Alligator mississippiensis: one gene and its partners. The protein of the gene in region 3 purifies or fractionates together with the protein of the main gene of each other region. This does not show direct contact. Links are inferred from orthologs where the notes say so. Each region holds a gene or a part of one and is shown on either strand. Other genes may lie near its edges. The genes, in order: CDIN1, RBBP7 and ASF1A.

Region 1 (3,746 bases), on a different chromosome or scaffold from region 3:
AAATGCTAGCAGAAATGACCAGCCTGGTACATATTTCTGCAGAGGAATGCTGAAATGGAAATAAACCACTATTTTCATATAAACTTAAAATATTTTTATGTATCTAGGTCACAACTCTTAATGTTAATATAACTGCTTAATGGATGACTCTTGTGCTGACACAGACCCCTCCTGAAGTCTATATGACCATGAATGGACACAAAGTCTCCTGCACATATACACGTGCAGCATTGGAGGGTTAATTAGGAACCAATACAACAAGTCCTTCTGAAAGTGCTCTGGCATTACCAGCATGCACAAAGTCACCACAAGTCTGGCAATATTTATCATTTCTTTATCATTTTTCTAAAGCTCCAGATCTTGCAGCCCTGTGGAAACCTGTTTTCATTTTTATTTTTTACGTTTTTGGCTCCCAGGTTCTCCAAGAACACTGGAAAACATAAACCCCCAAAGGCTTGAAATCCAACGGCAAATAAAAAGAACTCAAGTTTTTTTTTTTTAAGTCTCCCGATTTTAAAGCCAATTTTATAGATTTGGGGAGTAAGGGAGGCAGATTCAGGATCTCTGGCAGTACTGTTATTTATATGTACTTTCTGCAGCAGCCCAGGCCCATTACAATCAACATGAATATTTCCAGAGATAGAGTGAAAGAGAAGCATCAAGTTTCTGCACGGTTAACCCGTAGTCTGCAGCTGAGGTTCTGTACTTCAAGGGAGCCCAGTCCTCCACGAACCTTAGATCTTAAATGCAAAGCACTTCAATCAGGGGTCTGCTGCCGGAGCCTGCATATACTGTCTTTTGTAATGCCCGAAACAGGCTAAAACCAGGGCCTAACACTTGTGAAGCTGGTGAGAACATAAGCAACTGACTGATTTGTTTTGAAGACATAAGGCAGAGGTTCTCAAACTTTGTCATACCCGCGACCCCAAGCGCTGGGTGGCAGCAGCGGTGCACGGGGGGAGAGCTCGCACACGGCAGCCGCCGCCACCATCCACCACTCTGCACCACTGCACGTACCCCCTGGGAAGTTTGCTGCCCCCTTTAAGTTGCTTGTGACCCCCCGAGGGTCACGACCCACAGTTTGAGACCCCCTGGCACAGGGGAAGGGTTTTGCGGTCCTCGTGCCTTGGAGGATCAGAATAGCAAAGATGTCCTAGGCCCGAAGAAGGGCGACTGTGCCCAAAAGCTTGCCAAGATCTTTCCCCCCCCCCAAGACTCGGTCTAATAAAAGCTAGCACGTCCATCCAAAGAACCTGGCCTGCCATAAGAAAGGCAGCTCTGATGGTCCCAATGACCTCAACGGGGCTTTGCCCAGGAAGAGGGGGTCACAAGGCGGGAGTCCTGAAACAGACGGTGGCAGAGGTCGGCAGAGCCACCACAGAAGGCGCAGGCCCACCCGGGACAGCGGGCCAGGCGGCAGGAGCGAGGGCGCGTGTCAGGCGTGAAGAGCAGAGCGCGGGCAGAGCTGGGCCCGCGGCCGGGGCGGCGCCGCCCGAGAGGGAATGGGAGCGGGCTCCGCCCCGCTCGCCGCGGCTCCCTCCCCCTGCCCAGCCTGCGGGGCGGGGCCGCAGCTGCACGGCGCATGGGCGCCCGGCTGCGGGGCTGGCTGCGTGACAGGCCACGGCGCCGCTTCCTCCTGCCTCCAGGCCGCCGCCGCCGGAGCGCGGCGCTGCTCCCTACCGCCGCCCCCTGCTGCTGCTGCTGCAGCTGGTGCTGCACAGGCCGGCCCAGCTGCGGGCGGGGGAGCTGCTGTGCGGCTGCGGCATGAAGTTGAGCAAGGCGCAGTACGAGGAGATCGCCCGGTTCCTGGGGCACGTGCAGCCCACCCGCCAGAGCCTGAGGCGGCTGAAGGAGCGATTCCCCAGGTAAGCCGCCGCCGCCCGCCCTGCTCTGCTCTACTCTGCTCCCGGCGCCGCCCGCGCGGGTGTGGCGGTGGCCGGCGGCCTCATGGCCCTGAACGGTGCACAACCACAGCCACGCCCCCGCGCCCTGGTCCTGGACCTGCTGCGAAATAAAGGCTGCCCGGTTCCCACAGTGCTTCTGGCCTGCTGCCTTGGCCCCTGTTTGCGGTGGCACCTGCCTGACTTGGGGTGTCGCTCCCCGTTTCAAGCGACCTTCAGACCAGCAAGCCCACTTCTGCATACAGCTCTCTCTCTCAGGTTGAAGGCAAAGGCCGGGACCTGCTTACACAAGTATCCACCTGCTTTCACATCTCCCAAACTTTACCTGTTGAAGGCACATGAATACATTTTGGGCTTAAAACACCAGCAGGGCCTGCTTGGTGATGAGCGGAGCCTCATCTCCCAGTTTTGTTTTTGCCCAGCTAGAATAGCGCCATGCATCTGTTACCCTTCTCCTGAAAACACCGCTTTATCCCTGTGGTTTTTGGGAAGAGGCAGCTGACTTGTAACAAGGGGGCAGCGGTAGACAGGCAGCATTTCCTGGGTTTTAATCTCAGTGGGGTACGTGCACGTTCTGTTACCCTGCATTGGGACTTTCTTTTGGGGGGGCATTTATTTTCAATTAACAAGGCTTCTGAAGCGTGGGATGGATACCTCTGACCAGATAAGAGCATCAGTCACTTACCACATGAAATATTTGAGGGGAAAAAATAGGCGGTCCCTTGCACTATGTATGGTTATTTAAAAAAACCCCAACAACAACCTCCTGAGCAAATAATTCACAGCTTCTATTGTTAAGGCCAGGAATCATGGTGATTAATCCACAGGACTGGAATTAGGATCTGGATTCTATTTCCAGCTCCTCCCTCCAGTTCTGTAACTGGGCAGGCCCTTCAAAAAGGCGCAGTGGACCTCCTGAGAGGTGGATGTGCAACATTCAGGTTCTAACTTTCTCTGCTTTTATTCCTCTGTAAAATGGGAATAAAAATAATTCCCTCCCTCAGGGGAATACCACAGGGGTACGTTCATTATTATTTCTGAGGTGCTTCAGATCCCTTGGTGGTCAACGCAGAAGAGCCAGCATAAATACGCTGCTAAAGTGCTCCCTTTGCCTTGCATACCTTGCTCCAATTTGCAGTTTAGCTGTTTTTCATATCAGCTTCGCTGTAGGATAAAATGAATGGTACTAAACACTTTTTGAAAAATGAGTGAATGTAGTCCAAGTAAATTGCATTGAAGTAAAAGTCCTTGTTCCCTCAGTGTGTTCTTTCATAGGAAAGAAACTAGAAAGCAGCAGAGTTGGTTTTTCAACATCGTACTACCAAGAAGTGTCAATGCTGTCCTGAGTAAGAGAATAGTCTGACCTTCCTTTTCATTTGCTCATTAACTTATTTGCTTGGATTGCAAGTCAGCATGTGAATGGTGGTTACAGTTTATTAGATGGTGACAACTGTCCACTGGGAACCATCAACTTCTTTAGAAGATCCCAAATACATTTTGAAGCATTGTAGTCTGTTCGGTATGGGGAGAATTTTAAGCATTTATCCTGCTTGTAACTTCTGATAAAATGACTAGCAGTTACCTTTAATGTTGGTATTTAAATATACAGATGAAGCACCTTTCTGTTCTCTGAAATCGAGGCCATAGTAATACATTTCCACATACTATGTCTTTAATTTAAAAATCCTAAAATTCAAGGTTAAAAATCTGCAGTGGAGGAGAAGTGCTAGGAGTGAAGTGCTTCAAAGAGTTCTTTGGGTAATGAAGTTGAGAACAAAGTTAAGCGTGTTAGACAAATACTACAATAGGATGGTTTAGTCAGGGATGAGCCTGCCTTCTAGCAGT
Region 2 (3,746 bases), about 220 Mb from region 3:
ACACGTATGTTAAAACCAGACATTTAATTAAAAAAAAATATTTCAAGTAAGAATGTAATTCAATAAGATATGCATTATTTACCACTGTGGCTAGAAGAATACACACTGAAAATGCCTGCAAAACCTACCTCCCTTCTCACTATCATATTGAGAGACATCAAACTGATCATCATTAGGAATCTGGACTCTTGCAACCACCAAATGGTTCTGTTCATCAGAGGTGTGTGTTCCCAACACTAACCAGTGAAGGGCATGGTCTTTTCCTTCTGGCCTGCTCGATAAAACAATAGTCATACAAAATAGTCAAAGAGTTCAGGTTTGTTTTTTTTTAACTTATTTTTTTTGCTACAAAGTTTGCCCGTGACACCCAATTGGTCTAGGAGACCAGAGATTAATTCAAAGAGCACTTTTTTTCTGCCATATTAGGAATACTAGTATAAGAGCTTAAGCTGAACTGCAGAGGTTCACAGCACTGTAGACATGACAGATAAATCTTTGCCAAAATTGGAGTGACAATCCCAAAATAATTTTATAATGATTTTCATTACTATGTGAACAGCAGAATTATGACTTTTTATTTGCACAAAAAGATTAAATAAAGGCATTTTGACATTAGTACCTGAGAAGGGCAGGACATGAGATTTTTGTTCTCATGTAAAGATTTTCCAAACAAAAACCAAAAACATGAGTAGCTTAGAAAACAATATTGAATGTTTAAATATGGTCTATTACTAGGAAACTGTTGTGGGGAATAAGTTAGAAATTACAGCAGAACGTGCATTATCTACCAACAACCAAAAAAACATGCCCACAATTTTATGCTGTAACTTAAAAATGGAATCAGGAGACTTCTAGACTATTGTTTCTTCAGTAGCAAATGACAGTTAATAAACTGTGAAAGAAGGTAGCGCCTTAAGACTCAAAGCAATTTCTGTGTTCAAGAAAGCAAAGGCCCAGTACAGACCAAACAAAGCTTCTGGAGGAAAAAAAACCCTAACAGTTCACAATCCCATTGCTATACTGCATCCAATGCTCTCCTCACCCCTGTATGAATAAGCCTCCCATCATGGCAGATGAAACTCAAAAGGGACCATGTTGGTTTTAAGTGATTTACATATTGTGACACTAGCTATACAATTAAAACTAGCTATTTTAAAAAAGTCAAGCCATTAATATGCGAGGTAAGCAGAAGCACTTCACACAAGGGTCTTAGTTAACCTTTCTCTCTCCTTCCCAGCCTCCTGTTCTCAAGTCCTTGCAAGCCCAAATACTTTCACATGCTAAAATAACAATAGATGTAAAGCCATCATTTACACAAACTATGATTTTAGAGGAAAAACAAACCCGCGCCAATTCTCCAATGACTGCACCCCAGCTGTACTGTAAAACACGAGCTACACACACACACACACACACACACACACACCCCCCCCCCCCCCCCCCCCGGCCTTTGACTTTGTTCTGACACCCAGTAGGTATTTATTTCAAGATGCTACTTGGAACATCAAAATGTACAACCGTTAGAGAAAACAGCACAGAGATGAATATCCTCTATCACAGCAGGGGAGGGCAACTGCTTTGGCAGATGCATGGCAACATGAGCCCCACACCCTTCCCTTGCCCCATCAGCTGCTCCAAGATCCACCCCTGCCTCATCAGCTGGGCTGCCATCCCTTTCCTTCCTCTCCCCTCCTCAGAGTAAGGGAGGCTGCCCATGTGTGGCAGTCATGGGGCAGCTATGGCTCCTGGGAGCTCTCAGGAGCACCCCAACTTCTTGATGGACACCTGCAAGGGGTCTAAGCCCCCTCAGCAGGACAAGAGGCCAGCAGGCTTCAGCATCCGTGTCACAGCACAGCTGCCATGGGGTGCCTCTTGCCTCCTGCACAGGTAGAAACAGCCCCACGTGGAACAGGGCAGGGCCGAGGGGCCCCCATTGGAACGTTCCGAGGCGGGGCCGTTAACGGCCCTAGAACGCTCAGGGGCAGGACCGTTAACTGAGGCCCCGCCTCGCGTGCCCGGGGGCAGGGGAAGGGGCCCCGCCTCACCTGGTGACGTCAGGCAGCCACTGCACGGTGAGGCTGGGCCACTCCAACGCGTGGGTCATGACCAGGTCGTAGAGGAAGGGCGTGTTCTTCTTCCACACGCGGTACTCCTCACCGATCACCCGCTCCTCCGCCGGCTCCTCCGCCACTGCCGGCCCAACCGCCGCATCAGGTCCCGGCCAATGGCTCCCTCAAGCTCGAGACCCCCTGTCCTGCCCTCCCCCTTCCCCCACCCCACCTCCCCACTTACCCTCCCGGGTCGCCATCGCGCGAGGGGTGGAGGCGGGGCCGATCTCGCGCCCCGCGCCAGCCGCTGCGCAGGCGCGCTCAAGACGCCCCGCTCCAAACTCGGCTCCCGCCTTCCCACCCGCGCGCATGCGCAGCACCCACCGCCCCGCCTCGACGCCAGGACGCCGCCTGCGCTTGCGTCCGCTTCCTGCGGCCGGCCTCCGCGGAACACAAGAACCCCACCCCCACTTGCCCGCCGGCGACCGAGCGTCGCCTGCGCACGCGCCCTCCTTCCACTCTTCTCCCGCCTGACAGGGCGTTAAGCGCATGCGCAGTAGAGTGCACTGTCGTGGAGGGCGGGGGGAGCCGTAAACGGTGAACGTGGCAGATCAGCGCCCGTTAGCGGGGGGTGCTGGGCACAGCCATTGTTGCTGGGTGTCTGAGAATTTACACCGTCATTTCAACCCTTCTACGATGTACAATCAATAATAGGAAAAGTGTTCAAAATGTACAGTACTTTTTGAGGCAATAATGGAGGCAACTAACATGCAAAACCCGAGTCACGACTCACCGGGAACCCTCTGGGCGTGTTGCTGGTACTCCCCCATGACTACTTGCCTTGAAATAAAAGCATGTTTCAACTTGCATGACCCACACCTCACTCACTCCCTGGCCAGTTGCAGTGAGCAATAAAAAATAAATAAAAAAGGCTTATCTGCATACTTGTTTGCATGTGTCTGCATAATTTTCAGTGTATGATAGTTTTTGAGCAAATATGATAATTTAATATTTAAGACCTGACAATGCACATCACACCGTGGCTCCCGCCTACTTGTCCCTAAGTCACCTGGACTCCTGCCCCCACAGGGCAGCATTGCTGGGGGCTGCTGCCTGTCTCTGAGGGGGCGCTTCAGGATGCTCTTTTTGTCCCTCTGGTGTTTGAAACCTTCCTGCCAAGCTTTCCCCCTTTGCTGCCAGGCCCAGCAGACGCTTGGCACTTTGCTCCTCACCAAAAGAGGGCTGGGACTTGCCCGTCCTCCCCAGTCCTTCCCAGTGCCGGGATACCTGCCCCAGCCCCCTGGTTGGCCAGACTGTGCCTTGCCACCCCCAGAACAAGCTCAGCTCACACCCCAGCGGCGCAGAAGTAGAGTGTGCCCCAACTCCTCTGGCCCTGCAGGCCAGAGGCAGGCAGCAGAGCTTCCCTGGGCCCAGATGACCCACCTTGGCCACTCAGGGGTCACACCAACCCTGCTGCCTTTCCTCTTTTGCCAGTTTTTAGTGGCCAACAACCTCAATCTGACAGCAGGCCGGGGGGCAGGAGCTGTGGTGACCCTGCCCGGGTTGTGGAGTTACGCCAACAAGCCCTGCCGGCCACAATTTGACCTCTCCAGGCTGCCAATTGGCCAGTCCTGTTCCAGTGTGTCTGGATCTGGGATTCATCATTGGTTTGTGACAAGGAAAAAAAATCAAGTTCTC
Region 3 (3,746 bases):
GAGTCATGACCCACAGTAGCTATTTCTCCATACCCTCAAAATCCAAACCCTAATAGTACCTCTCTTAGTGAAATCCCCATTTGGAGAGAACACCCTCAGACCCAATATGAACATGAACTTGCAGCCCTTCCTCTGATTGGTAGCCACCAGTCAAGGGAAGAGCCCCATTGACTTCAAAAGATCTGAGCAAGCAAGTGCAGCACTTGCAAAAGGGTTGCAGGTTTGGCTCCTTACGTTCTGGGGGTCCCAGAGATGCTCCATGGTACCTAAAGGGTCAGCACAAACATTTGATCACAAGAGAAGAATTGCTGCTTATGTGTCTGTTTCCCTCAGTGAAAATAAAAAGTTATTTTCAACATCCAGCCACATTATACAGGTATAAAAATTATATAATACGTATATTAAATGTATATAGTTATATACAGGCAACCCCCACTTAACTCTCTTTGGCTTAGCGCTATTTCTCTATAACGCTCATTTAAAATTGATACCCTATTCCACTTGGCGCTCAGCGAGTTTTGTTACAACGCTCAAGGTCACCATCTTGGGTCATTAAAAACAATTGTGGTTGCCATCTTGGGTTGTCAAATACTTTTGGTTTCACTTAATGCTGGGTTTTTCAGGAACCATATAGGGTGCTAAGTGGGGGCTGCCCGTATACATGCATAGAAATGATATAAAATGCATATTTGTATCTACTCTCTTTCTCCCCACCTCTCCCTCCCCCTCTCCATCTCTCCCCATTTCTTCCCCCTTCCAACTCTTTCCCCATTCTTTTTCCCCCCTTCAATGTCTCTCTCTCTCCATCTTCTATACACAGACAAGAAGAAGAAGAAAGGAAAACAACCCTGCCTTTGGAAAAGGGACAGAGCTGGAAACGAAGCCGCCGGACAAGCCAAGCCGCGAAGAGACCCGACAGCGGCGTCAGCCACGCTGTGGGGCCGGCTCCTCCCTGCGCGCCTGTTCCGCGGGGCTCCGGCAGAGGGAGACGCGGCCAGTCGCGGCGCCGCGCGCTGCCGCGCAGCCTGTCTTGACCGTGCGGAGCGGGCGGGGCGGGGCGCGGGGGGCGGGGCTCGGGCCCGCGGGCCAATCGGCGCCGGCGCTGTCCCTTAAGCGAGGAGAATGGGGCGGCGCGGAACGGACTAGCGAGGCGGCGGCGCGCTGCGGGCGCGGGGAAGGCAGGCGGGCCGGCGGACAGGGGGCGGGGGAGCGGAGAGGAAAGAAAAGAAAAGAAAAGAAGGAAAGAAAGAGACGACAAGAAAGTTGCGGGCGGGGGGAGCGCGCGGGGGCCCGAGGCCGGGCGCAGCCCATTGTGCAGACCATGGCCAAGGTGCAGGTGAACAACGTGGTGGTGCTGGACAACCCCTCGCCCTTCTACAACCCCTTTCAGTTCGAGATCACCTTCGAGTGTATCGAGGACCTGTCGGAAGGTGAGGCCGCCCGCACCCGGCGAGCAGTGGGGCAGGGTGGAACCGGGCGGCCCGGCTCGGGGGCAAGTTGCGAGGAAGTTGTGCGAGTGGCGGGAGCCATGTTGCCAGCTTTGTGCGCGCCGGCGCCGGCGCATCGGGGCCGGGAGGCGGGCTGCGAGCGGGGTCGGGAGCTGCCGGGCTGAGGAGCGCGGGAAGCGGCGGGACCGAGCTGGGAGGAGCTGCCGCCTTCCCTTCCCCTCTCCGGGCCGCGCTCCCCAGCCCCGCGTGGTGGAGCGGCGCTAGCCGCAGCCCCTGCTCCCGCGGCGGCCTACGGCCCCCCGAGCCGCCCGGCCTCCGCTTTGCCCGCAGGCCGGCCAGGCTCTGTGGGGAGAGGGGGTGTCTTGCACCAAATAGTTGGGGGAACTGCTTTTCGGGGCACCAGCACCCTTTTTCAGGGGCAGGGAGAGAGCGCTCTGCCTGCTCCTGGATGGAGCAGGAGCCGACATACAAAGCCTGTGCCTGAAGAAGGGCGTTAGTTGGAAAAAATGTTTTTCAAGGCACCAGTGCCCTCGCACGCTTTGTATGTCGGCTCCCGCTCCCTCCAGGAGCAGGTAGAGCGCTCTCCCCATGCCTGAAGAACACTGGTGCCTGGAAAAACACTTTTTCCAACTAACGCCCTTCTTCAGGCACATGCTTTATATATTGGTGCCTAGAGAAGGCAAAACACTCTCCCTGCACCTGAAGAAGTGTGTTGGTGCCCCCAAAAACATTTTGTGATAGACTAACTAAATAGTTGGAAAAAACTGTCACCTTTACCCAAAGACGCTCAAGTCAGAAGGCACGTGGTGCTAGACTGGCTGCCAGTGGGCAAGTGGGAAGAAGGCCCTGCCAGGCCTGGGGGAACGGGGCCACTCTCAGTGCTGTCTCTGGAGGACGTCCTCCCTGGGGCAGTGCTGGGACAGGCTGGCAGAGGCTGCTCCCCCAGCCTCTCTCTAGTGATTCTTAACTGTTTCAGATGGGGGGGGGTGTGCTAACCTGGGGGATGCCAGTGCAGTCACACAGGCAATGGGGGGAGGCTAACCTGAGGCACCTCATCACCTGTGTGACTGGACTGGCACCCCCCAGCAACGACTGCCGGGCCTTGCTTACTTCCTTGCAGGGAGGAGCCTGAACCTGCACTCCTCTTGCACCTCAGGCACCCTTTAAAGGATCTCACATCCTCAGGGTACCAACCTCCTGGTTGAGAAACACTGTCTTGGTTTAAACAAGGTTTGGCCCAAGCCCCTGTGGATGTGGCAGCTGGTGCACCAGTGCCACAGCCTGTTTTTAAAGTCTGGGAGCACTAGCAGACAGGGCATATTACCTGGACCTGTGTGCCTAGGACTTCTGCCCCTCCTCTCCTGCTCTTGTGTATTTAGCTCATATTCATTACTAATGGATTTGCGTATTGAAGCAAGGATGGTTGGCATCTCAATGAGCCAAAATTTAAAACTGCCTGCTTGCTTACTTAGCAATATTAGGCTCCTGTTTTCAACTAGGAATGAAAAGCACACTACCGTTTTTCACATCCCTGCCTATTACAAGTACAGATTTTTTACTTTTGATTTTGATTTTTTTTTATACAGGTCGTTAAAGTTACAGAAAATACTAATACATGTAGTGAAGGAAGTTGCTGTTGCCTTATTTTTAATTACTACTATCCAAATACTACAGGACCTGCTGCTCGCCCCCCCACTCCCTGCACCATGTTTAAAGGGCTCGATTCGGGCAGGGAGCCCCTTCTTGGCCAAGTGGGGGGAGTTCCTGGTCCCAGGGAGGGAACCCAGGCATCCCCAGCATGTGCTGCCCCCACCCCTACAGCTCAGCCCATGTTATTTCAGTGAGTTTATACTAGAGTTATCTGCAATTCTGATTTTTTTTCAATGGATCAGGGGGCCCCCCAAAATTGTGGGCGGGCCCTGATCAATTTTTCTCTCCAAATGTTATTTAATTTTTAAATGGAGTCCATTCAGTTATGCCAGTTTAAGATTCCTTGCATCCATCAATACCTTTTTAAATGGTTTTAACTGAAAAGTTTTATGCTTTAAAATGTACCACTTAAAAAAAAAAAAAAAAAAAAGTTGCAAAACAAGTTGTGGTTTGTAGATAATATAAGCTATCAGTCCACAATTAATTTTATACTGGCTTAATAACTTATAATAAATGTGTTCGAGAGAATCTTAGCCTTTGCTGTCCTCTCCTCATAAGACTTAAGGCGCTGTCCTCAATAGGACAGCCAGACTGGGTCAGGTCACTAGACATTTTTGTCTGGTGACTTGTCTTTGCAGTAACCCAAAC

What was found.
Region 1: the proteins of ASF1A (region 3) and CDIN1 purify together in Homo sapiens (affinity purification with mass spectrometry; 3 studies listed by BioGRID and IntAct, counting the BioPlex papers as one, with this or other methods). This does not show direct contact. The link is inferred for Alligator mississippiensis from reciprocal best matches to the Homo sapiens genes ASF1A and CDIN1.
Region 2: the proteins of ASF1A (region 3) and RBBP7 purify together in Homo sapiens (affinity purification with mass spectrometry; 5 studies listed by BioGRID and IntAct, counting the BioPlex papers as one, with this or other methods). This does not show direct contact. The link is inferred for Alligator mississippiensis from reciprocal best matches to the Homo sapiens genes ASF1A and RBBP7.

The regions. Positions count from the first base shown.
Region 1 is NC_081825.1:246,501,505-246,505,250, reverse strand, and holds the start of CDIN1 (CDAN1-interacting nuclease 1), read left to right. Parts: upstream 1-1,563; 5' UTR 1,564-1,764; coding exon 1,765-1,865; intron 1,866-3,746. UniProt on the Homo sapiens protein: Plays a role in erythroid cell differentiation.
Region 2 is NC_081824.1:321,631,774-321,635,519, reverse strand, and holds the start of RBBP7 (histone-binding protein RBBP7), read right to left. Parts: upstream 2,409-3,746; 5' UTR 2,309-2,408; coding exon 2,293-2,308; intron 2,191-2,292; coding exon 2,046-2,190; intron 272-2,045; coding exon 129-271; intron 1-128. UniProt on the Homo sapiens protein: Core histone-binding subunit that may target chromatin remodeling factors, histone acetyltransferases and histone deacetylases to their histone substrates in a manner that is regulated by nucleosomal DNA.
Region 3 is NC_081824.1:103,481,095-103,484,840, forward strand, and holds the start of ASF1A (histone chaperone ASF1A), read left to right. Parts: upstream 1-1,178; 5' UTR 1,179-1,321; coding exon 1,322-1,430; intron 1,431-3,746. UniProt on the Homo sapiens protein: Histone chaperone that facilitates histone deposition and histone exchange and removal during nucleosome assembly and disassembly.